Schizosaccharomyces pombe: one gene and its partners. Changing the gene in region 1 together with any one later gene gives a genetic interaction. Each region holds a gene or a part of one and is shown on either strand. Other genes may lie near its edges.

Region 1 (7,872 bases):
CCTAGCGGTACCAGCACCTCAACAGGAGTTATCCAGCAGGTGATTAAAAACGATAGCGGAGAGGAGACTCGTTATGAAATATTGAACGATCATACTGGAAAGGCTGCTACCTACAAGGAGAGAAACATTTCTCGTATCCTAGACTAATGTTTTAACGATCTGAGCAATTTTTTGTTGAATATGATATTTATTTATAAAAGTGTTTTATTTATTCGAAGGCAATACATGGTTTTCTGAGTATTGCTTAATTACCCTTTCTGAGTATCAACAATTGTATTGAATTTCTGTTAGCACACTTAATAGCTTCAATAAATTGCTACTGTTACCTTTTTTTCCTTTTTATTTAAGATTGTTACACATCAACAGTAAGCGTAAAAGTGGAAACCGTAGATATATTTTCGTCAATCATAAAAGGTCCTTATCAAGATGATGCATACATCTACCTGTATTAACTGTTTTATTCTTCATGCCTAACAAATTATGTTTAAATTGTACCAATGCACAAACCTCCTATTGCTTCTAATCATCCCCAATTGATTTATTCCTCTAATATATGAAACTGCAGCAACAATATAGCATTTATGCAACTAAAATATAATCCAATACTGTTTATTCTTTTTTAAAAAAAAAAACCAGTATAATTTAAGATACTTGCCATAGTTACTTTACAATATTATTTCGTTGTGGAAGAGGACATGTGTCAAATTTATCTACTCACTTTACGCCAACTATCGTCGACTAGTGTTCTAAACAAGATATGAGAATTGAAGTGCTTTTCAATGCAATTTCGTTAAATTATGTCAAGAGAAGAACAAATAAAAAAACTTAATCAATATTTGGATAATAGAGAGCTTGCCTTCCGAGCCAAAGATGGTGACAAAAATATATTTCATACTGAGAGCCAGCTGGATTCTTCTCTAAAGAAAAATACAGCATTTATGAAAAGATGTAAGTCCTCATTAACTTCTGAAAATTACGATTCCTTTATAAAGGAAATAAAAACCCTGTCTTTGAAAAAGTTCATTCCTGAAATTACCGCCGCCATCGTAGAAGGAATGATGAAATGTAAAGCTACTAAAGACATACTGTCGTCAGTCAAAATTGTTTGGGCTCTTAATCTGCGTTTTTCCACGGCTTTTACTGGACCCATGCTGGCCAACTTATACTGTGCTTTATACCCAAACCCAGGATACTCATTGTGTCACGAATCATACTTTGAACTAAAGCAAAATGAAAACGAAGTTTCCGAAAAGGACCGTTCCTCTCATTTACTCAAAGTTAGACCGCTCCTTAGGTTTTTGATTGAGTTTTGGTTAAATGGTGTTGTTGGCACTCCTGAGGATTTCGTCTCTTATTTACCTTCTACTGATTCGAATGATAAAAAGTTTCGTAAGCCATGGTTTGAAGAGCAAAATTTAAAAAAACCCTTGGTGGTTCTGCTATTCAATGACCTTATGGACACAAGATTTGGGTTTCTCTTGTTACCGGTTTTGACATCTTTGGTGAGGACTTTTTCTTGCGAACTTTTCACTACAGAGGATTTTGAAGATAAAGAAACTTTAGAACTAGTTAATCGCCTTAATCCGGTTGTGTGGAGGACTTATTTAAGAAAGTCGTTGAATTCCTACGTAGACAAATTAGAGGTCTACTGCCAAAAGCGAAAATCTCTTTTTGAAGAATTAAACAAACAATATCAAGAGCAAAGCATTATAAGGGCAGATCCAAACAATGAAAAATTCCAGCGCCTTGCTAACTTTTCAAAATCGATCGAGTCTGAATTTTCTTCTTATGCTTCTCTTTCAGAAGTATTGAATAGAAAAGCTTCCGAAGATCTCTTGGAACTCAACTTTATGGAAAAGGCTTCCTCTGGAACTAATAGCGTGTTTAATGCATCAGGCGAAAGGAGTGAGTCTGCCAATGTTGAAACGGCTCAAGTTTGGGATGATAGAGAGCAATATTTTTTTTACGAGGTGTTCCCAAATTTTAATGAAGGTTCTATAGCTGAAATGAAAAGTAGCATTTACGAATCCAGTCAGGAAGGTATTCGTTCTTCATCTGAAAACAATAAAAAAGAAGATGATCTTAAGGACTCAACGGGCGATCTAAATACAACGCAAGTAAGCTCAAGAGTTGATAACTTCTTGCTAAAATTACCCTCCATGGTTTCCTTAGAACTCACGAATGAAATGGCCTTGGAGTTTTACGACTTAAATACAAAGGCATCTAGGAATCGACTTATAAAGGCTTTGTGCACTATCCCTAGGACATCGTCTTTCCTTGTTCCTTATTATGTTCGATTAGCACGTATTCTTTCTCAACTTTCATCAGAGTTTTCCACTTCATTGGTAGATCATGCAAGACATTCGTTCAAAAGGATGATTCATCGAAAAGCTAAGCACGAATACGATACTAGATTGCTTATTGTTCGTTATATTTCTGAACTTACTAAATTTCAGTTGATGCCTTTCCACATGGTTTTTGAATGCTATAAATTGTGTATAAATGAGTTTACACCATTTGACTTGGAAGTTTTAGCATTACTTTTAGAAAGTTGTGGGAGATTTCTTCTTCGTTATCCGGAAACCAAGTTGCAAATGCAATCGTTTTTAGAAGCCATTCAGAAAAAAAAATTGGCTTCTGCGCTTGCCTCTCAAGATCAGCTTGTACTAGAAAATGCTTTACACTTCGTCAATCCGCCAAAGCGTGGTATCATAGTTTCAAAAAAAAAATCATTGAAAGAGGAATTCTTGTACGATTTAATTCAAATTCGTTTAAAAGATGACAATGTCTTTCCGACCCTTTTACTGCTTAGGAAGTTTGATTGGAAAGACGATTATCAAATTCTGTACAATACAATTATGGAGGTTTGGAATATAAAATATAATTCTTTAAATGCTCTTGCTCGTCTGCTTAGTGCGCTTTATAAGTTCCATCCAGAATTCTGTATTCATGTGATTGACGATACACTGGAAAGTTTGTTTTCAGCCGTTAATAATTCCGATCATGTGGAGAAGCAAAAAAGATTGGCACAAGCTCGATTTATATCTGAACTTTGTGTCATCCATATGCTCGACGTGCGTGCAATTACAAATTTTTTGTTCCATTTACTACCATTAGAGAAATTTGAATCTTTTTTAACCATGAAAGCGTCAACATTAACCAATATTAACAATGACATGTTTCGATTAAGACTTATTGTTGTAGTTTTGCAGACTTGTGGACCATCAATCATCCGTTCAAAAACGAAAAAGACGATGCTTACATATCTATTAGCTTATCAGTGTTATTTTCTCATTCAACCAGAAATGCCTTTAGATATGCTTTATGAATTTGAAGACGTGATAGGATATGTGCGACCTAGCATGAAAGTATACATGCATTATGAGGAAGCCAGGAATGCTCTAACGGAAAGGCTTCAGGCCATTTCTGATGATTGGGAAGAAGATGATACACGTCCAGTATTCCAGGGTGCTAATGATGGTGATATTAGCTCGAATGAAGAAAGTGTTTATCTGCCGGAAGATATATCAGATGAATCTGAAACAGACGAGGAATCATCGGGATTGGAAGAGTCTGATCTGTTGGATAGTGAAGACGAAGATATTGATAACGAAATGCAATTAAGTAGAGAGCTTGATGAAGAGTTTGAGCGCCTAACTAATGAAAGCTTACTGACTCGTATGCATGAGAAAAATCCGGGATTTGATGTTCCACTTCCTCTTAGAGCTTCTAGCCTAGGCTCTCCATATGTGACAAGAAATGAGGAATCAGCTAGCGAATCGTCGCACGTGATGTTTACTTTATTGACCAAAAGGGGAAATAAACAGCGTTCTCAATATTTAGAGATTCCCTCGCATTCTTCGTTGGTCAGGTCTACCAAGAATCAGCAAACTGAAGAAATAATGGAACGGAAACGTGTTAAAGAAATGGTTTTGAACTTCGAATAAGAGAAGCTCTTGTTTATCTTCGTCCTCTAAATACCGAAATTCTAAGCCATTGCTGGTAAATTACCTGCTTCGTTTACAACTAGAATAGACGAACCTTTTGTATAATATTTAGCTTTTTCATTACCAAATCAAAGCTTGCAATTTACTATGGTAGCCTTCTTTAATTATTTACATTCTAAAATATGCAAGCTAATTAGGTACAATACTTTATTAATACCAATTGAAAAACACTGAACAGTTCACTAATAATATGTTCGAAGCTAAGAAATTGATACATTATTATTTTCAGGAGATTTTTTATTATCTAACATGTAAATTTCTAATTTATAGAAGTCTTTTTGCTTTCAGTCAAAGGTGAAAACCATAACTTGCATAACGATACGTAATATGCTGCTGTATTCTGGCATTAAATCACTACCAAAACCTTTAAAAAAAAATATTGAACTTCAATTGTATTAAAAAGTATCGAGCATTATGTTTGGGTTTGGAAATATATTATATGGTAAGATGTTTTTGAACGCAGCTTTCTAATTTGTTAGTCACTTTATTGCTTTTAAACGCGGTTGCTATTCTTTCAGAGGATAGATTTTTAGGAAGAAGTATGAACTACAATTTTAACCAAATATGTTGTTCTAATTATTGAAAATAGTTGGATGGTCCCAAAGTGCTGCCCTGGGATTTGGTGATCGACAAGATACTATCAAAAGCCGAATTTTGCATTTAATTCGAGCTATAAGAACTGTCATGACTTGTAAGTATTAAAAACTTTATAATTTCTAATTTTAAATTTTAGTCCCTCTTATTGCCATAAACACGATTGTTATTGTTTATAACCTCGTCTTGGGATGATTAAAGGCTTTACGAATCTTTGTTAATGTCGCTCGCTTTTGATGCTGGTCTAAAAGCAGTGTTATCCATTATTTGATTTATCATATTTATACTCAAAAAAATTCAAGACAGGAACTTGATATTCAAGCGCTGATGTTCCAATTACTCATTTGTGAAAGTTTAACTTCAGAATCTAGCGGATTTAATAAATACAATCCTAATTCTTCAACAATTGTACTATCAAATATCGTCTAGTATTTTAAATTCATTTTCTGTGCTTTAATAAAAAATCCATATCGTCTACTAGAGGCATATTTTTTTGGTTCTTCTTGCTAAATTAAGCTCGTAAAATTCCTCTATTCGCCATATCTTCTTTGGCGTTTGATCTTCTCAGTAAATTATCACATAAGGTCATTTCCTTTTTATAAAGATAATGTGTAAACAAAGAAATGCGACTTCTAATTTACGTTTCTTTACTAGCCATTAGTTTATAAATAATAAAGCATACTGGACATTGCCTTAAAAATGCACCGAACTGTTGGTCTGCGGTATTTTGATATACAGCAATACATTAGAGCTTTATATTAAATAATACCGTTTCGTTAATATATGCAAGGCCAAAATATATACAAATAAATCGACTTAATTTTTTGCCCGTTGTCAATTACTTGACAGGAAACAATTGTGTATCTTTTTTCACACATCAATGCAATTTAATGGAAGCAATGGAATAGATGAAAGCAGTGTAATTGATTTGACGAGATCACCTTCTCCACCAGTCGAAACTTCTATTTCTTCAACAAATATCATTGATTTGGATGCTATTCCTGATGACAGCTTTCCATCATCTCCTGTTCTAAGTCCTCGAAGAAGGCGTATGAACCGGAGAAGGAATGAACGGTCTCGTAACTTTCCTTCAAATCATTTATCGTATTTGGAAGACATGATTTACTTAGGTCCTCAGGTGTCCACTCGTCGTTCTTCTTCACGTCGAGATTTGATGGGAATGATTGCCAGGACATTTCCTGAGTTTAGTTCTGTTAATTCCTTATCCCCTTCTCTTTTCCAGTTGATTGTGAACCGAATGAGATTTGACGCTATACATCCAGAATGGACTAACGGTTCAGACGACGAATATTTCTCTAACCATTTTGAAGAATCATATGATGATTTTACTTCTTCTTTAGAAAATATAAAACAGTCTTACAAGCCTCCAGGCCCTCCAAAATCTGGATTTACTAGAAGCTTTAACAATGATACATTGATGGTTTGTCCAAGATGTCAGGAACCATTAGGAACATCCAAAAGCAAAGAGAAATCTGCATTATGGGCAACAAAGTGTGGTCACGTCTATTGTGGCTCTTGTGCAAAAGTTTTGAAAACCAGTAAACGATCTCAGTCAAAATGTCTAGTGAATGACTGTGGCCGTTATTTAAATACGAAAAATGCCATGTGGGAATTATTTTATTGACGAACCTTGTACATTGAAAATGTAGTCCATTGTGTTGGATTTATAATGTCTATAATAATGAAATACGACCAAAATTATCACAATTTGTGACTGAGCTTTACTTACGAATTTTTTTTAAGTTGCTAATAGGTCCTCTTTCAATACAGCAGATTTAGATTTTAGTAAAAAATACTTTGATAAAACTTAATTGAACCTTTCTTGCAAACTCAAATAGTTATTATACATCAATTTGTGCTCCAGCGACAACATGTATTCTCCGGATACGAACAAAGGCCTTGTTTCTACAGCGATTCATAATCATTTTCCTCGAATTCATCGCCTAACAATTTTTCTAAAAGATTTAAAGCCTTGGCCTTTTTCTCATTTTTTTCCAGGTCAGCATCTAAATTTCGTTGTTAGTTTAGTCGACTCAAGGAGTTACCAACCTCTAATTTGGTTCATTTCTTTCATCAAATTATCCAGATCCGTCGATTGCATGTCTGGACTTCCTTTGAATCGTTCCGGGAGATAGAAATCTCCGGCATCATCCTTTTCTTCCGAGAAACTTTTATCAACTTGTGACAAGTTCCATTCGCAGCAATCGAGAATTTCTCGAACACGGTCCAGTCCTACTTTCTCTAAAGAGACTTGTTAATAAATAGAAGATTGGTTGACTTTACCATTGAATTCATTCACTCCTTCCTCGCTGATAGAAATATATTCTGGGGTAAACACATCAGGTGGTTCTAGTAATTTTTCATCTGACATGTGCAACCCAATTACCGGAATCTCTAGCTGTAGTTTATCTATAAAATTTTTAAAAAGAGACCACTCAGCTTCATCAAAACTTCGAAAAGTATATACAATGGCACCTAAGCTATCAATAACTTCCTTCGCTTCTTCAGAACTATAAGCATCCAAAGTTTCAGCTAAATTAGAATATTCTTCAATCCAAATACCAACCGAAGCTTCAAAATATTTATTTCTGATATTATACTTATGAATCAAGCCAGAATGATCATTGTTAAATGCCTCGTCATCTAACCCCTTCGGTAAAGAACCCGTCAAAGCTTTTCAATTAGTAATTGCAAATAGAACACTAATATTTACCCTTAATAAAATCTAGCTTTCCAGAATTAGAGCGACCTATAACCAAAATAACTCGCATATGATTTTATGTACTTAGCAAAAATTAATTCGCTTTTTTATATTTTCAATCAGTTCTGTAGAATATTAAACAAGTTTTTGGTGGATAAATAAATTCTCGAAAGACCTAAAGGTAAGGCAAATTGTGATTTTAACTACAGTCTAACAGTTTAATGAAACAAGGATTGAGCAATAGTATAGCGCAGTGTGATACATTCCTAAATCAATAATGGTTTAGTTTATCACTAACGAAGGTTGGTACGTAATTTTACGTGTCCCTAACTCTGTGTTATACGCACACGCATAAATGGCTTTAAATACCAAGACGCACAAAAATTAAAGTTGACGAATTTGTCGTGCTTTGGAGTGACTTAGAATTTTAAATGCAAACAATAGACTACTATATATTAAAAGAAATATGTCGTTCACAAATGCCACGTTTTCGCAAGTGCTGGATGATTTATCAGCTAGATTTATCTTGAATTTACCAGCAGAGGAGCA
Region 2 (8,434 bases), on another chromosome or scaffold:
AACAGGGAACTGCAGTTGCACCTTCTCTAAGGAAAATACACCTCTTTGCTCCTTTTCGGGATTATCAGCTGTGTATTCCAATTCCGCATCTTCTTGAATATCTGAATCTTCAGAAGAATTAGGATCAATCCAATCCTCGGCCAGACTCATTGTTCAATGGGATTGCACGCGTATCAATAGAAAATGAGATGAATTATTATAATTCCGCTGCCAATATAAATTAATTTACCAATATTTAAAAAAATAATTAATAGTAATTAATTGTTTCCTATTTCGCTAGTTACAGTCGCTACAGATACACACCCTCTATTTTTGGCACATGGATAATGGAGAGTGAGTCATGATGCTAGACTTGCGAAACTAGCATATGAATGAACGAAGTTGCTTAATGGAATAAGTTAATCAAATTGATAGATATTACTAGTTTTTTATTAAAAAAAGCATACATATTTATATGTAAATAAATAAATAAATATATATATATATATATATATATGTATATAGGATTGACTATTCTTTCAATAACTATTGATGCCAAAAAATATATTATGTACCAAAATAACAAAAACATTACGTTAATCATATAAAAGATGATCTAGAATTAAAGATGAATGGTCAAAATGTCGGAAACCGAAAAAGGTGTTTCACACTGCGGACATGTACTTGTTTTATGCTCATAAAAAGGTTCCATACAATTAGAACAAAAGGCATGACCACAGTTTGGAATGAGTTTAGATTTCCAATTAGAAAAGTTGCACACGGAGCATTTTAACATTCCTTTGTATACTTGAGCCTCTTGTGTTTCATATGCCTGGTTTATAAGATGAGACTCTTTCTTATTATACGAAGCTTTTATGGATAAAATAGTATGCTCTTCTTGCAAATGAAACAACTTCTGATGCATGATCATAAGCTTTTCCCCAGATTTTTGAACAGACTCTATAAGATCTTCAAGTTTTTGAGTAAGTTTTGTTTGCTTAACTTGTAAGTGCTTATCTTCTGTTAAAACTTCGACCGAGTGTTTCCCGTAGATTTCCTTTATTTGTTTATAAACTTCCAATTCAGCTTTTAAAGAGGATTCATATTTTGTTAGCGCATGTTCTCGCTCTTGCAACTTCCCTATATAATCATGTTCTTTATTTTCGGCCAGTTTAAGAGTTTTCTTCTCTGTCATAAGAATGTCCCGAGCTTTCATGGCAGCAAAATATTTTTGGGTGGCACGAGCCTTTTCATAATGCATTTCCAAAGCTTTTTTCTCCTTCGTTTCAAGTTCTTCATATTTCTTCAACAAACGAGATTGTGATTGATCAAATGCTGCATACATACTTGGGAGTTCAGCCTCCAAACAACTATTATTTTTTATTAGTTTTTCCAAAGCTGAAGACGCAGAAATTTCTTCTTTTTCATCTAGGACATTATTCATCTCACCAGTCTTAGACCTTTCAATACGATCCCATATGCACAATCGATTTGAATAACCTTCTAGAATTGCAACCCGAGCGTTTGACAAGTTGCTTAATAAAAGCATCATATCGTCAAAAAATAGATTGTTAGTATATTGCATTTGTTGTTTCGCCACTAGAGAGTCTCGTTCGTTACGAATTTGGGTTAAAGATGATTCAAGGGTTTTAATAAGTTGTTGTTTCTCTTTTACACATGCCAATTTTAAATCAATAATATCCTTCTGTCGTTTCGTCCGTTGAGAAATAAAAAACTGAATGTCCTCAAACAATGAAGAGAGGTCCCGATTAATGGATTCGATTTTCTCTTCATTTGAAGAAAGAACCCCCTTCAGCTCTAAATAATGGGGCTCTCTACTCACTCTTTCATCCGTTATACCCATAATGTCGACGTACAATTGTGCTGCACGAGTTGATTTTTGAGAAAGTTCATCCAATTTGGAATTTATATTTGCTTGCATCAAATCAGCTTGAGATTGAAAATTGTTTTTTAGTTTTGAAATATTATCATTATCATTTAAACATCCTTCCCCATTTTCGAGAATTGCTTTTGGTTCCGAAGCAGGGATATCATCAGCGATATTTTCAATACTTCTTTCGGAAGCACTAGTAAGCTGATCTTGCTGCACCCGTTTCCATTCTAATTCAGCTGAATTCAAAGCTTCACGAAAGAAGGAAAGTTTCCTTTTTAGGAGTGCCAACTTAAGTTGGCTAGTACGGTAATTAATCATACTTGTAAAATGAACCTGGCGTTGGTCTATCCATTCATGGACGTTTGGAGTTTCTTTTAATTTAAAAGAACCAAATTTAGCTAACTTTTGTAGAGTAGGTTCATGGGCTTGAAAATAGGAAGCATACTTATTCAAATAGTTTTGCGCATCTTTGATTAAACTGAACTCAGCAAGTGACAAATCTAGTGTCTGTAAATTATCATCAGGTTGATATAAAGAAGCAGTGATTTTCTCTAGTTCTTCAAATGATTGTTCATGATTTTCCAGAGCAGCAGCAACGTAATGATCAAGTTTCAAAACTAGAGATTCCCAATACTCGTATAATTTCTTTTCCAAAACAGTGAGATGCTCATACTCTCTAGATCTTCGCCAAGCTGCTTCCTTTTGAAATAACTCTAAGTCATCTTCTTCTCCGAGGTCTAAACGACGCGTTTCTTTTTCGCTGTGAATAAGACGTCTTCTTTTCCTCGATTCATTCACAACGCTCATTCCACTTCAAAAAAATTCCTTTTCTATTTTATAATTAAAATAAAGTACTTAGGATCAAAATATGTGCTCATTAACATTCACTAAGCCAATTCCTACGGTTAATGAGTTTTTTCAGGTTATCTGTACATGGTAGTCATGTCTCGTTAGTGAGTCAAATAGATTCCTCGCTATAATAATATGTTTCTTTACCTTAGTTATGCCTGTCTTTAAAGTCGCCTACGAAGTAGTAATTTGTATAATATAATTAATATTGGCAATGACAAAATAAACATTAGCTAACGACAATGGCTTCTTCAATTCCTTCGGTGGTTATCTAAATTGCTGAATTTATTCTACTATTCATATTAGTGTAAAGTATTTTCTTGCTTTATCTGTAAACTATAGCTTACATTTCCAGCGTTTTATAATAACTAAGTTTGTTCGAGGCTGACCCTGATTATTTCTACCTTTAGTTAATTTTATATCTTACTCAATCATTGCGACTATAAAACTTTTTACACATATATATTAATCTATTCAGACGGGCTTGCTTGGTTTCGTTGTACAGTTATACCCAGGATATAACCTCTTTATTAAAATATTACTGGTTCATGGACAACAGGCAAATGTTTGTACAAACATATGCGCACTGCCACATAATTTTTGAAATTCATGCAATTGAGTCGAAGTTACAGTCTAAACAGACTCAATGAGCTCGCAAATATTAACCTCACCTACAAGTACGTTTTTTTAAGTAGTAGGGCTTTCCACTAATGTTTTACCAGAAAAATCAATGTCAAGGTTTGCCCCTAAATTTACAGCCCGTAGAGAGAAAGTATCGGACCAAAAAGAGGTTGTTCATGAAGAAAAAAATCAACCCCTCACAGGAAACGAAGTAGAAACATCCGCTCAGCTGTCTCGTGATACTGCCAATGCTGATATTTCTAGTCCGGTTGTGCAAACAGTAGTTCACAAAGAGGCAACTGAAAATCCCACAGCTTCATCCTATAGAAAAGATGATTCAGTGAAACAAAATGAAAAACTTTTGCATTCAAATCCTACTTTTAAAATTTCTAAGCCAACGGTTCTTGAGCAGCCGTTAAATGCTATTGAGCATTTGTCGCCTGAAACCGATTTATCCTCTTCAGCCGAACAGCAATTTATGAAGGAATTAGATTTGTTTTTTGATGAGAACATTCCCCTTTCTCAGCTCAGTGCTGTTAGTGACGGAAAGGCGGATTCTCCGGCTACAAAAAAGTCTCGCCGTTCATATAGAGGTACGTAAATAAAGGGTTAATCTAAAATGCATTATTTAATAACATCATAGAATCTTCTTTGAAAAGAAAAAGTCAATTGATATTGGAAAACGTGGGTACCGACGAGAAAATCATTAACATAAGTGAAACCAAAATGTCTGCTTTATGTGATGATCCTGGAATTGGCCGCAAAAGTCAACGATTTATCGAATTAGAAAAAATGCTTTTTGAGGAAAAACGAGCAAAGAGGATTAAAAAACAAGGAGCAAGTACTGCAAGCTCTAGTCGAGAAGCGTCTTTAGATTCTACCATCAAACAGCCTTTGAGTGCCAGTCTTCTAGAATCAAGCGAACCGAAAGAGAAAGAAGAAATAGTAGGAAGTTTGGAAGAAGAGGGTACGGATGAGTCTGCTTCTCTCGAAGATAGTCTCTCTCACCCAACAAAGTCTATTCTTGATCAGTTAGCAGATAAAATGGAAGTTGATGGTTTGAATAACAACTCCAATTACTCTGCAACTCCTCGTACGCGAGTTGTTAATGGCCAAATTGTTCTGGATGAAACCTCACTAGAAGTCGACCGTCATGAACGTGATTTTGTACCAGCAGAGGAACGCGAATACGTTGAAGAAAATTCTTTAAGTCGTCGGGTTACAAGTGCTACTTGGGGAAATAGGCAGAAACCTGAGAAATGGAACGCTATGGATACTGAAAAATTTTATAAGGTATGGAGGAATTGCGCTCGTATTTACTGACATGGCAGGCTCTATCACAGTGGGGAACTGATTTTGCTTTAATTGCTAATATGTTTCCAACTCGTAATCGTCGACAGATAAAACTAAAGTTTAAACAAGAAGAAAGAAGAAATCCTGCACGTGTTAATCAAGCTTTGAAAATTAAAAAACCTATTGGTAAGACATTGTGTGAGTACTCAAATAATAACCATTTAAATTAGATATGGAAGAATATAGTAAAGTTTCAGGAAAGGTGTTTCGTCCGGTTGAAGAAATGGAGAAAGAATTGCAAAAAATTCGTGAAAATTTTGAAGAGGAAAGACGTCGCGCAATTGAAGTTGCAGAACAAAGACAGCTCATCGTCAACCATGAGCTAGAGCAAGAAAAGAATGCGCCTTCTCCAACCGACGATAAGTCTTATGTATTTGAGGACGGAGTCGAGGTAGTCGGGCAAGTGGTTTAATTTCGTTTTGTTTTTGTGGTTTGATCAATTAATTTTTGTTATTTGTTTTTTTTTTCTGTTTTTAATTTTTCTTTAGATCTTTTTTGAAGTTTTCTTATAGAGTTTAATTGAACCTATTTATTTAATGTCGCAAACATTTCACCATATATATCGTATATTTCACTAAACTGATGTATATTTGTTTCTAAAGATATATTAAGCAAGAGTTAAATTAGGATATATCAAAACAGTTCATTGAGAAAATACTAGTTTACTTATTGCTAGTTTGTCGTGAAAATTTTTATTCTTACATTCCGTTTAACTCGCTTTTTATTTTAAAGATTAAGCAAGCGAGTAAGAGAACATTGGGTTACACCTAAATTTGTATCCACGAGTAGTGAAGTGTCTTTAGCCAAATAATTGAAAACAATCGTTTTCATTCATATGGGGAAAAAGGCTCGTTTTAAAGAAGCAAGACGTCTTCAAAAAAGAAATTTAAATAATGCTATTGGTTCGTCAAGTATAAATAGCCAGAATTCTTTAACAAACGACAAAATTGGAAAAGGGAAGAACAAAGGCCCCACTGAGCGATATGTACTCCCATTTGAAAAAAACAATAGATTTCTATTATTGGGAGAAGGCAACTTTTCGTTTGCTTTTTCATTATTGCTACATCATGTATCATCTGAGGGGTTTGTGTTAGCTACCAGCTATGACTCTAAAGAAGATTTAAAGCAGAAATATCCAGATGCTGCTGAATACATCTCAAAAATAGAAATAAATGGGGGAAAGGTTATGCATGAAATTGATGCAACGAAACTGCATCTGCATAAAAAGCTTAAGACACAAAAATTTGATACTATATTTTGGAATTTTCCTCACTCGGGGAAAGGAATTAAGGATCAAGACCGCAACATTTTGGATAATCAAAGTAAGTTTGAAGTTAAAGTTTTTTATTCGTAAATAATTTAAAAAATAAATTTGGAAACGCCGTTCATAATAGCTTTTATTACTTTTAATGAGACATATCTCGAATATCGCTAATTAATTCTAGAAATGCTTCTTGCCTTTTTTAAAGCATCTAAATTCCTTCTGTCAGAAAAAGGCGTAATTGTAATAACTTTAGCGGAGACCAAACCTTACACTTTGTGGAATTTGAAAGGTTTAGCCAAGGATGCAGGGTATACGAGTCTGATGACTGAAAAGTTTGACTCTTCTTTTTATCCCGAATATTCACACAGAAGAACTATCGGTTGGATTGATGGAATCAGCGAGAGATCGCCATGGAAAGGTGAATTGCGAGATTCACGACATTATTGCTTTGTGGTGAATGGAAGTAATATAAAGCCTTACAACCAGAGGAAGGAAAAAAGGAAGCGTAGTGAGCTCTCCGATGATTCAAGTGATTCTTCCTAAGGTTTTTATCCTAAGTGAATTTGAGAATAGCAGAAGATACTGTATATAGTAATACTGAGATTGGCTGATGTCAATATCGACTACCAACGTGCTTTTTTCAACGCCATATATTAATCTACATTCCTTTAAATCTTCATTAATTAATTAATTTATTTACGAATTATATCTTGTAATGACAAATTCTAGACGGCATATATTTGAACGCATATGTGCTAAGGCTTTTCAGTCCAGTTTAACCTGCTCGATTTTTGGATTCACTGTACTGCTTATCTTATATCTATTAGATTGGAAACGGATTGCCCAAGTTCCAGGACCTAATTTGCTAAAAGATTTGGAGTTTCAACGAGCTTGGAATGACCTAGAGTATATATCAAGTTTGCCTCATCCCTATAATTCCAAGCAAAATGAACATGTTCGATCCTACATACTAAAAAGTATGCGAGAGCTGGAAGCTACAAATCAATCATATATTACAGTTATCGATGATACTTTAACAAACATTACTTTCGAATCGACTGACAACGATACTCTTACATATTTTGAAGGAGATAACATTCTTGTTAAATTCGAAGGGAAATCGAAGGATTTGTTTCCCATACTCCTGTCAGCACATTTTGATTCTGTATCCACTGGCTATGGTGCTACTGATGATGGTATGGGAGTTGCAACTGTGATGGCGATTGCCCGATATTATGCTAAAAATCAACCGAACAGAGATTTGATAATAAACATAAACAATGCTGAGGAGGATTATCTTTTTGGTGCTAAAGCTTTTGCTTCCCATAAACTCTCAAAAAACGTTACTGCTTTCGTCAATTTGGAAGGAGCCGGTTCAGGTGGAAAAGCGATGCTTTTTCGGTCAAGCAATGGACATGTCAGTAGCGCCTACTTCAAAGGAAATCATTATCCCCTCGCTTCGATATTAGGTAACGACTTTTTCAAGAGGGGTGTCATTCGAAGTCAAACTGATTACATTGTGTATGAGAAAATGCACAATCATACTGCAGGCTTAGATATCGCTTTTTATGAGAATAGAGATATTTATCATACAAGGAAAGATGACATTAATCACCTAATGCCCAGTTCACTTCGACATATGATGTACACTGCGTCGAATGCTGTTAAAAATTTACTCAACGACTCTAAGTCAGACTTAACTAAATTTCGTAAACCGATGTTTTTTCTTGCTTTTGGAAAGTATTGGCAATTGAATTTACCTATATATCAAGTTTTGAACATAATTTTCGCTGTCATTTGCCCGATTGTTTTATTATTAACTTTAATTCGCTTTCCTTCACTTTACGAGCAGCTCAAGAAGCCTAGATATACTGTTTGTTTCGTTGTTTCCTGTATTTTTGTTTCCATATTTGATACCTTGACCGTATTATTGTTAACATGGATAAATCCTTATGTGATCAATTCTCATACCGGTTTAATCCTTGCTTTATTTTATCTCACAAACTTAATTGCTTTGGCGTTTTCATTTAGGGCGGCTGCGACTCACAGTAAGCTTTCTTCTGAAGACCTTAGTTCCATCGAAATTGTTTTTATCTGGTACGCTCAAATTTTATGGTACTTGGTTTTTATTGTTTCGGTTATTTTATCCATTTACTTTCAGCTTGGTTCTACATATTGGGTGACGCTTTCATACCTTTGTACTTTTACCTGCTGTATAATGACGATAATTCGAATTAATTACTTTGTAGACAATGTAGTAACCACACAAACTACTCATGAAGAAGACGCACTGATTGGCTCCTCTATTAATACTAGTAGTCATCAGCACTATGGAAGCACGTTGAATTCTACTCCTCATCGTCGAAATTCCATAGCATTGTCAAATAGAGCACATGTAAAGCTTATTGACAACATTTGGACTGTCATATATTTTATTTTTAACGTTCCGTTTCCAGTATTTCTTTGCTACGATA
Region 3 (7,524 bases), 790 kb from region 1:
AGGTAGAGCGAATATTTATTTGCGAAACGAGTGTAACGTTCATCAAAATCAACAAAACGAACATAAGAAGGCCAAACATAGGACTTTCCGCAACCATTGTCCTGTGGACGACCTTGAAAAGAATGTAGAATAACTAATAATAAAAGAATGGCGATGATTGCAACATAAAGAGACCAGCTTCGTATAGCCTTAACTATAACATTCCCCTTTGAGATTTTAATTTCCTTTTCTATGGAAATAGAGCTAGGTGTTGAAGAACCAGAGCTAGTAACGCTAGGAATATCATTTTGCTCTAAATTAGGTTTCTCATCGTTTGAGGCTGTGTTGGCATTATTGCGTTTATAAAAGCCGCTTGAAAGCTTTGAATTGGAGATATAGTAGCCATTCACAGTATCTGACCTTCCCTTATCGTCTTTCATAGTTTTAAAAAACCGAGACGAAGAAGACGATATACGGGTTGAGCCTTGATACAAATCCAGGGCCGCTAATGAAAGTTAAAGACAAATAAAAGGGAAATAATAATTCAAAAGGCAAGTAAAACCTGTTAATATTTAAGACTCAGTTGTTTAGATGAAGTGCAAATTAGGTATCAACTGAAAAAGAAATTTCCAGTTTGCAAAAAATTAGACAGGTTACAACAACAGAAAAAAAAAACATATAATAAAAATCCTCGTAATTTAGGACATAAGTAGGAATTTCACAGTATTTCCCAAACACTGTTATATCTAAGTCCTTTAATCAATTTGTTGCCTCAAATGAAGAATCCAGCTCCAAAATCGAGGACTGTGTCAAAGAAATCAATTATTAGAAATGAAAAGTAGATCCTAAAGACTTGAAGGGAAAAAGGGACAGTAAGGAAATTCACTGTTTGTCTACTAACAATATAAACCTAAGAAATCAATGAAAGAAATTCATGCAACAGAAACAAAGGTTTTGTTAGAAAGTTTTTAAGTAGTATTATTTCAGCCACAATATGGAATTTATAAATTTTCGTTTAATTTTTTGATTATGGTTGGTTCGCACTAGACGTAAGGGCTGAGCTTGAATAGCCTCAACTTCGCCTTACTGAGCTGCCTGAATATCAACGTACAAATGTGGCAGCTTAGCAAGGATAACAGTTTACACTAACATTTTTTATTTTCTTCATAACCATTTGCTTTGTTTTATATTCGAAATAAATTATTGATAATAAGGATGTAACAAAACTTCATACATTAAAAATTGGTGTTCATTTCAACCTTAATGTTTGAAACAAACGTTAAATTGATATCGAAAAGCACGTAAGCGTTTTTGCAATGTTTAAACATATTTGATTGTAAACAGGCTTAAGAAATAGCACATTTTTTCCAATCATTCACAAGCAGTAGATCCTAATACTTAATGAATTGAACATTTTTGAATAATAATCTAGGAAAGAATCGCAAACGCAAAGCAATTATAAACTCAAACAGAACTAATTATGGGTAGAATAAACACAAAAAAAAGAGAGTAAACTGTAGCTAAAAATATAATAAATTTTGTTATCAATGGACAATTATGAGGATTTCAGGTAATGTCGGATTTGTATGGTAAAAAAATTAAATTCCTCAATTATGATTAGAGACCTTCATGTTAACCGCTAACATCAAACTAATATTAATAAAATAGAATGAAGTAGCAATAAAATGATGGAAAAATTAAATTAACAAGGAACTTAGAAAGAACAGGCGAGAAAATAACATATGATACCTTCAAAGACTTAATCCTCGGAAATAGTAGCATACTATTACACAAGACTTATATTAACACGTGCTAAAGACCGCATTGGAAGAAGCACACTGGAGTCTTTCAAAAATTACATCCTTTAACATTTTTGGAGATGAACTATCTTTGGACAACAGGGTAATATAATTTAACGGCAGAAGTGCTTCAGCATTTGACGAAAAAGACCGACCGGGTGTCGCTTGTAATAATTGGCTTCCTGGATAAGGAGGGAAAGTTTGTGAACATGAAGGGTGCAAAATACTCCCATAATCTCGTTTAATTGGTAAACCAAATTCTGCTTCTTCAGAATTCGCAGACGTTGGCTCATTTACTTCGATACGAACAACATCCTCAACAACATATAAATTAGGGAGCTCAAGTAAATCATAAATATTCATGAGGGGATTCTTTAAAACTTCAACAATATTGTAGGCTTGCCCTTTTACAAGTGAAAGTTGCCGCGAAAACATTTTCTCATCGAAATCTAAATCTTGATTGAATACGTTTCGTAAATCATCACTTAGTTTTTCCCACCATTCTCGGCTAGTCAACTTGTGTAAAAAGAGTTGCCTGGTAAACTCTGTAAAAGGTTGCGTAAATAAGGAGCGTGGTAAAGAGAGCCAACCATAAGGAAAGGACCTCCAAGAATCCGGATGTTTATAAGGGAATGCTAACGAATTATCTATCGCTCCTATTTGAAAATGTGGTCCCTTCCAAAAATCCGACGTTTGGGAAATAGCAGGGTCTACCGAGTTCGCAGACATATTAGGTGTTAAATTCGTAGATAAAAGATTAATTGATTTATAATATTCTTCATTATCACAGGGTTCGTAACAAATCTTGATCATCCAGTTATCCAAATTACGATCTGTATTACGCATTAAATAATCGAGCAAAACAAGTTTTTCAAATTCAAACCGGAATTTAAGGCGTAATTCTTCGGTCCAAAATTCGGTCTCAATTTCGTTCTCAGCTAAGAAAGGATCGAAAATGTCGAAGTCCTCGCTGGAAGCTACAGACTCCGTGTACTCTCGGGTTTCTCTATGTCGAGTACCAGGCCAGGGATGTTGAGCAAAAAACTTGGATGCAACGACGAAACCATCAAGAAACTGCTGAAAAGATCCAGTCTTTTCAGGAAGAGGCTTATTCCTTGTCAGAAAAGCTTTTCGTGCAAAATAATCATAATTGAAGGTTGGAGAAGAAATTGATGCAACAGACGTGTATGGAACTAAATACAAACCCAGACCTCTATCTAGAACACAAGCAGCGGCTTCTGAAAGATACGAAGTATTCGGAATTAGACAACTTCTCCCAAAAAAGCAAGGAAATAAATTTCGATGGAACCATTTCGTCCATTTAGGATTTAGCTTTCCATACGGTTCTTCATCTTTGGGTTTAAATACAGCTATATTTTTTTGGACTTTATTTTTCACAAAATAAGATCCAGAGGACCCCTTGGAAATAAGGACCGGGAAAACGCCGTGGGCGATTGCTTCCTTTGTAGCATCAAGGAGTCGAACGTAGTCTTTATAATCATATCCAGCGTAATGGGGGTATTCCTCCCAATGCTTTTCTGCATGCAAAACCCAAGAAGGAGCCATGAACACTGAATAGTAAACTCGGGGTTTTGAGATTGATTCAGACTTTCGTCTTCTTGCTTGCAAAGACTTGCTTAATTTGTTAGCCCATTGACCAAATTTTGACTGGGTAACTAGCCCTTTTAAGCTTCCAAAGACTTCATTTCCCTCATTTTCGTCTGGAAGAAGAAGACTCGACGAAGACGAACTGTTTGACGAAGCCCATCCATCCCTTAACGATTCTAAGGGATTGGTCTGTTCCTCATTAGTGTTTAAACTATTTTCCTGATAATTTGGAAAAGAATCGAGAGTATCTGAATGGAATGTCGATTCCATAACGCCCTGTGCAAGTACAGCACAAAAGCAAGAATCAACGAAACTCGGCTTTTTTAAAATAAAACTCTAGAATGACCGAAACGGAAAAGTGATACTATGATATTAATGAGCGTGTCAAATCACTGCTAACGTATCTCTTTCCCTAAATTGCCTAGCAAAGTCTCTGTTTTTACACTTGGAACATGGTTAGCACTTGAATCAACTGCTCATAATCTTTGCTGCAATGAGTAACGTAATGTAGCACACTGTGGGTTTAGTACGTTAAGCAGTATATATATATTATATATACAATGTTTAAATACTTGAATCGATTAGATACTGTAAATTATAAACAAACATTACTGTATATTTGAAATTCAGAAAAAACTCTTTCAGGAAACTCCCTTGAATATACTAAGATTTTTAGCTGAAGAATATTTTAATTTGCAGTAAATAAATAAATTCAACATGAAATTGAACATTACGAGAATTCCTAGTATCCCAAATAATACTCATCTAAATAGTGTATTGAAAAGATTGAATCCAGATTTGTTTTTTGTAGAAGGTTTTAGGGTAAGAAAAGCTCTAATTAATTTCCCTTGTACGAAAAATGATGAATCAATATAGAAAGAAAAGCAATTGTTTTTGTGTGATAGCCTCGAAGACGGGAATAAATAATTGAAAAAAGGGGAAATAATCGTCAATAATGAATAAATCTTTTCATTGAGGATAATAGAGCACCTTAGTTCTTATAAGCATTACAAAAACTCGTATCCTTTAAAACCATTACTGGTTATTAAAGCAAAACAAAACGTTCCAAAAAATCGCCAGCGTATTACTTAACCGCCAAATATCCTCTATGGATAACACTTAGTATCCAATCGATAAATTATAAATATAAAGGAAATATAAATTTTTTGGTTATACGCTTTCTACAATGTTGCACCGGACAAGGCACAGTCTTCTTGCGTAACTCTTTTGCACAAGTAGAACAAAATAAGTGTCCACACTTTGCAGCAAAAATGGATTTTTTCTCATCACTTACTAACTCATTTCCACATTTTGCGCATGCAATATTATTATGAGGATGGACATCATAACAAAACCCAGGTGGAGGAGATACCCTTTCGGCGATAGAATTTGATGAATCCTGAGCTTTTTTTCTTGAATTTCGAAACCCATTTTCAAGAAGGGTTCTCCGTTGGGTTTGAGACCTGTTTCTAGTCCTTCGTGCACCATAGAATATCCCCCCTCCAACAGCCACGGGAGGTCGAGTGACTGGAGAAGGAATAGAATTAATAGTTGGAACATTAGAAAGATTAGCGTCAAGGTGGTTACGGCTTGTACGAATCCTTCGACGAGGCTGGAACTCTGGTATTCTCGTTAAATCTAGCAAAGTAACTTCTGAAACATCCGCACCGTCATCTTCTATATCTTCGGTTAGGTCAATAACCTCAGGGCTTAACCTCTGATCCCTTCCTGGTACTAGAAACGTGTAGACGTTAACATATATTCTATAAACCGAAATTTTCACTTACATTCTAGTCCATGCAGATTCATACAACACAAAGCATAAACCTTTATTAAATCCCAAAGCAATTATAATCTTATCAGTTTTTTTTAATGCAACTTGTAGGTAAAATCGATCAACCCCGTGAAATTCAAATGATTCGGCATCACTGTGTGTTGAAGAAAAAGAATATGCACACTGCTATAAATCTTTATTTTTAGAGCGGCAACGAAAATATGTACTCCTCGTAAGCTTCAATGTAATCTTCTTAGGAGATAAATCAATTAGCAAAGCCTAAATCGCTAACTTGGGTAGAATGAAGTACGTAGTGCTGCCACACCCCACAACTCAGTAATTGAAACTTCTCACCCTGCACTTTTCGTTACAAAATATTTTGAACAACTTGTTGTCAGTTAGTTAAATGGCTATTTGAAAAAAATAATAGGGAAACAATATATCAGCCTCTAAAATTTTACAATATCCAGATTTTCGTAAATGGATGGCACAAATAATACAATTCCCTTACAGTTTGGCAAGCAAGCACAAACATACGATATAAATGCGTTAATTGCAAGATTCATAAGACCGAAAGAAAGCTTTTTGATAAACAGTGTAGAAAAAGAATCCGAATCAAAACTCAACTCAAAGAGTACTACTTTACAATCCTCAGACTCTGAGGATTGGGATAGCGAAGAGAATGAGGACGACATTACGGACGTTGGCGTACCAGGTTCGCATGAAATTATGTTTCCGGGACATTCTAAGGTAAGTTGATTTTGTAGTTTTCTGCTTTTACTACATTTTTACTAATTTTTGGTAAGATTGTTACCACTACTACGTTTGACAAAAATGGGTCACGTTTTTACACCGGATCTTTGGACAACACAATCCATTGTTGGGACTTAAATGGCTTGTCTGCTACTAATCCTCATCCTTTCAAAATTATCGATCCTACAGACACAAATGCTGACAATGTTGGTCGTTATCCAGTGAGCAAATTAAGTTGCTCTACTAAAAACCAAATCCTTGCATTGTATACCCATTCTCAGCCGATTTTATATGACCGTGATGGCTCGTTGATTGTACGGTTTAGTAAGGGAGATCAATATATCCGTAACATGTACAATACAAAAGGACATATAGCTGAAATTACTGATGGCTGCTGGCAGCCTGATAGCTCTCAAATATTTTTAACTACTGGGTATGATAGTACTGCGCGTATTTGGGATGTTAATCGCACAAAATCGCAATTGGAAGTTTTCGTCCATGTACCAGAAGGTTCTCACACCGGACTGTCTCGTATACCAGTTACAAGTTGTGCTTGGAATCCAGCAAAACCCGATAATTTTGCAACTGCTGTACTGGATGGATCCATACAATTTTGGCAAAAGGGTTCTCGTACTAAACGACCTGTTATGAAAATTAAGGATGCACATTTACCACAACAAGGTATTTCCTGTCTTAGTTTTTCACAGGACGGAAATTATTTGTTAAGTAGAGGAGAAGACAATGCCCTTCGTGTTTGGGACTTGCGAAATTCTAATAAATGTGTGAATGAGCGTATAGACATTTTAACTCCTAAAGCTGGAGGCAACGCAATATTTTCTCCTACCCAAAAGCTTATACTTGCTGGTTCTACAGCTGTCAATAGCATGAAAGCACCTTTATTCGTTTTAGACGCAATGACATTAGATACGAAAGCTACGTTATTCTTCGATTCCAAGTCGACGGTTACTGCTTCCGTTTCAGCTGTCTCTTGGAACGAAAAAATAAATCAGGTTTCTTTGGGGTCGGCTGATGGCAACGCATATGTTCTCTTTTCGCCTAATGAGTCCATACGAGGAGTTAAGGATGCAGCAATGCGCCCTCCTAAGTCGAAGCATATTGATGACGACTTATCTAGCACTGTGCATATAAACTCATTGAGTGGATCCGCTGGAACTTCTGATTTTGGGCTTGTAGAGGAAACGACTGAATCCGCATCAGCTTATTTTTTGGAAGCACGGCGTCGGCGCAATGCAGTACGCAAAGATCCTAAGCTTTCTCGGCAGCCTCAAGTTGGTCGCTTGCTAGAAGAAAACTCTGTCGATGACATTCCTTTGGCAACCATGCTTAATGAAGATCCTCGTGAGGCCCTTCTCAAATATGCTGACGTTGCAAAATCAAATCCTATGTTCACGAAAATGTACTCGGAAACTCAGCCAACTCCCATTTATCAAGGTGTTACAGAAGGAGATATTAGTTCTGAAGAAGGAAACCCTTCAAAAAAGCAAAAAAGATGAAAACTAAAGTTGAAAAAAATGAAAATCAACGTTCGAAAAGAATGTCAACATATTTAATGTGGGAAGATAGATTGATGGACTTATTAATATTTAGCGA

The links.
Region 2: mutations in rfp1 (region 1) and brl1 impair growth when combined (synthetic growth defect), as found in Schizosaccharomyces pombe (one study listed by BioGRID).
Region 3: mutations in rfp1 (region 1) and rfp2 are lethal when combined (synthetic lethality), as found in Schizosaccharomyces pombe (3 studies listed by BioGRID, with this or other methods).

What each region holds. Positions count from the first base shown.
Region 1 is NC_003424.3:2,464,869-2,472,740, reverse strand, and holds rfp1 (SUMO-targeted ubiquitin-protein ligase subunit Rfp1), read left to right. Parts: upstream 1-5,431; 5' UTR 5,432-5,481; coding exon 5,482-6,246; 3' UTR 6,247-6,527; coding exon of another isoform or gene 6,528-6,628; 3' UTR 6,629-6,671; coding exon of another isoform or gene 6,672-6,863; 3' UTR 6,864-6,905; coding exon of another isoform or gene 6,906-7,295; 3' UTR 7,296-7,335; downstream 7,336-7,872. Other genes in the region: protein prl65, read left to right, coding at 1-147; nonsense-mediated decay protein Upf2, read left to right, coding at 798-3,947; transport protein Yos1, read left to right, coding at 4,422-4,449, 4,487-4,546, 4,597-4,698, 4,741-4,796; recombination protein Irc6, read right to left, coding at 6,528-6,628, 6,672-6,863, 6,906-7,295, 7,336-7,393; mRNA-decapping complex catalytic subunit Dcp2, read left to right, coding at 7,790-7,872.
Region 2 is NC_003421.2:2,234,221-2,242,654, reverse strand, and holds brl1 (histone H2B-K119 ubiquitin ligase complex (HULC) subunit, ubiquitin-protein ligase E3 Brl1), read right to left. Parts: upstream 2,809-8,434; 5' UTR 2,681-2,808; coding exon 602-2,680; 3' UTR 501-601; downstream 1-500. Other genes in the region: pep3 (ubiquitin-protein ligase E3), read right to left, coding at 1-150; transcription factor TFIIIB complex subunit Bdp1, read left to right, coding at 3,369-3,399, 3,445-3,936, 3,987-4,636, 4,675-4,822, 4,867-5,108; rRNA (uridine-N3-)-methyltransferase Bmt5, read left to right, coding at 5,532-6,018, 6,142-6,503; erm2 (aminopeptidase), read left to right, coding at 6,676-8,434. UniProt on the Schizosaccharomyces pombe protein: E3 ubiquitin-protein ligase which belongs to the histone H2B ubiquitin ligase complex (HULC) which mediates monoubiquitination of histone H2B to form H2BK123ub1.
Region 3 is NC_003424.3:1,678,085-1,685,608, reverse strand, and holds rfp2 (SUMO-targeted ubiquitin-protein ligase subunit Rfp2), read right to left. Parts: upstream 5,442-7,524; 5' UTR 5,196-5,441; coding exon 5,174-5,195; intron 5,121-5,173; coding exon 4,525-5,120; 3' UTR 4,138-4,524; downstream 1-4,137. Other genes in the region: bst1 (GPI inositol deacylase), read right to left, coding at 1-419; 1-phosphatidylinositol 4-kinase Lsb6, read right to left, coding at 1,782-3,656; wdr70 (WD repeat-containing protein), read left to right, coding at 5,641-5,910, 5,967-7,427. UniProt on the Schizosaccharomyces pombe protein: Mediates ubiquitination and subsequent desumoylation/degradation of sumoylated proteins and proteins containing SUMO-like domains. Involved in maintaining genome stability where it acts in the cellular response to DNA damage.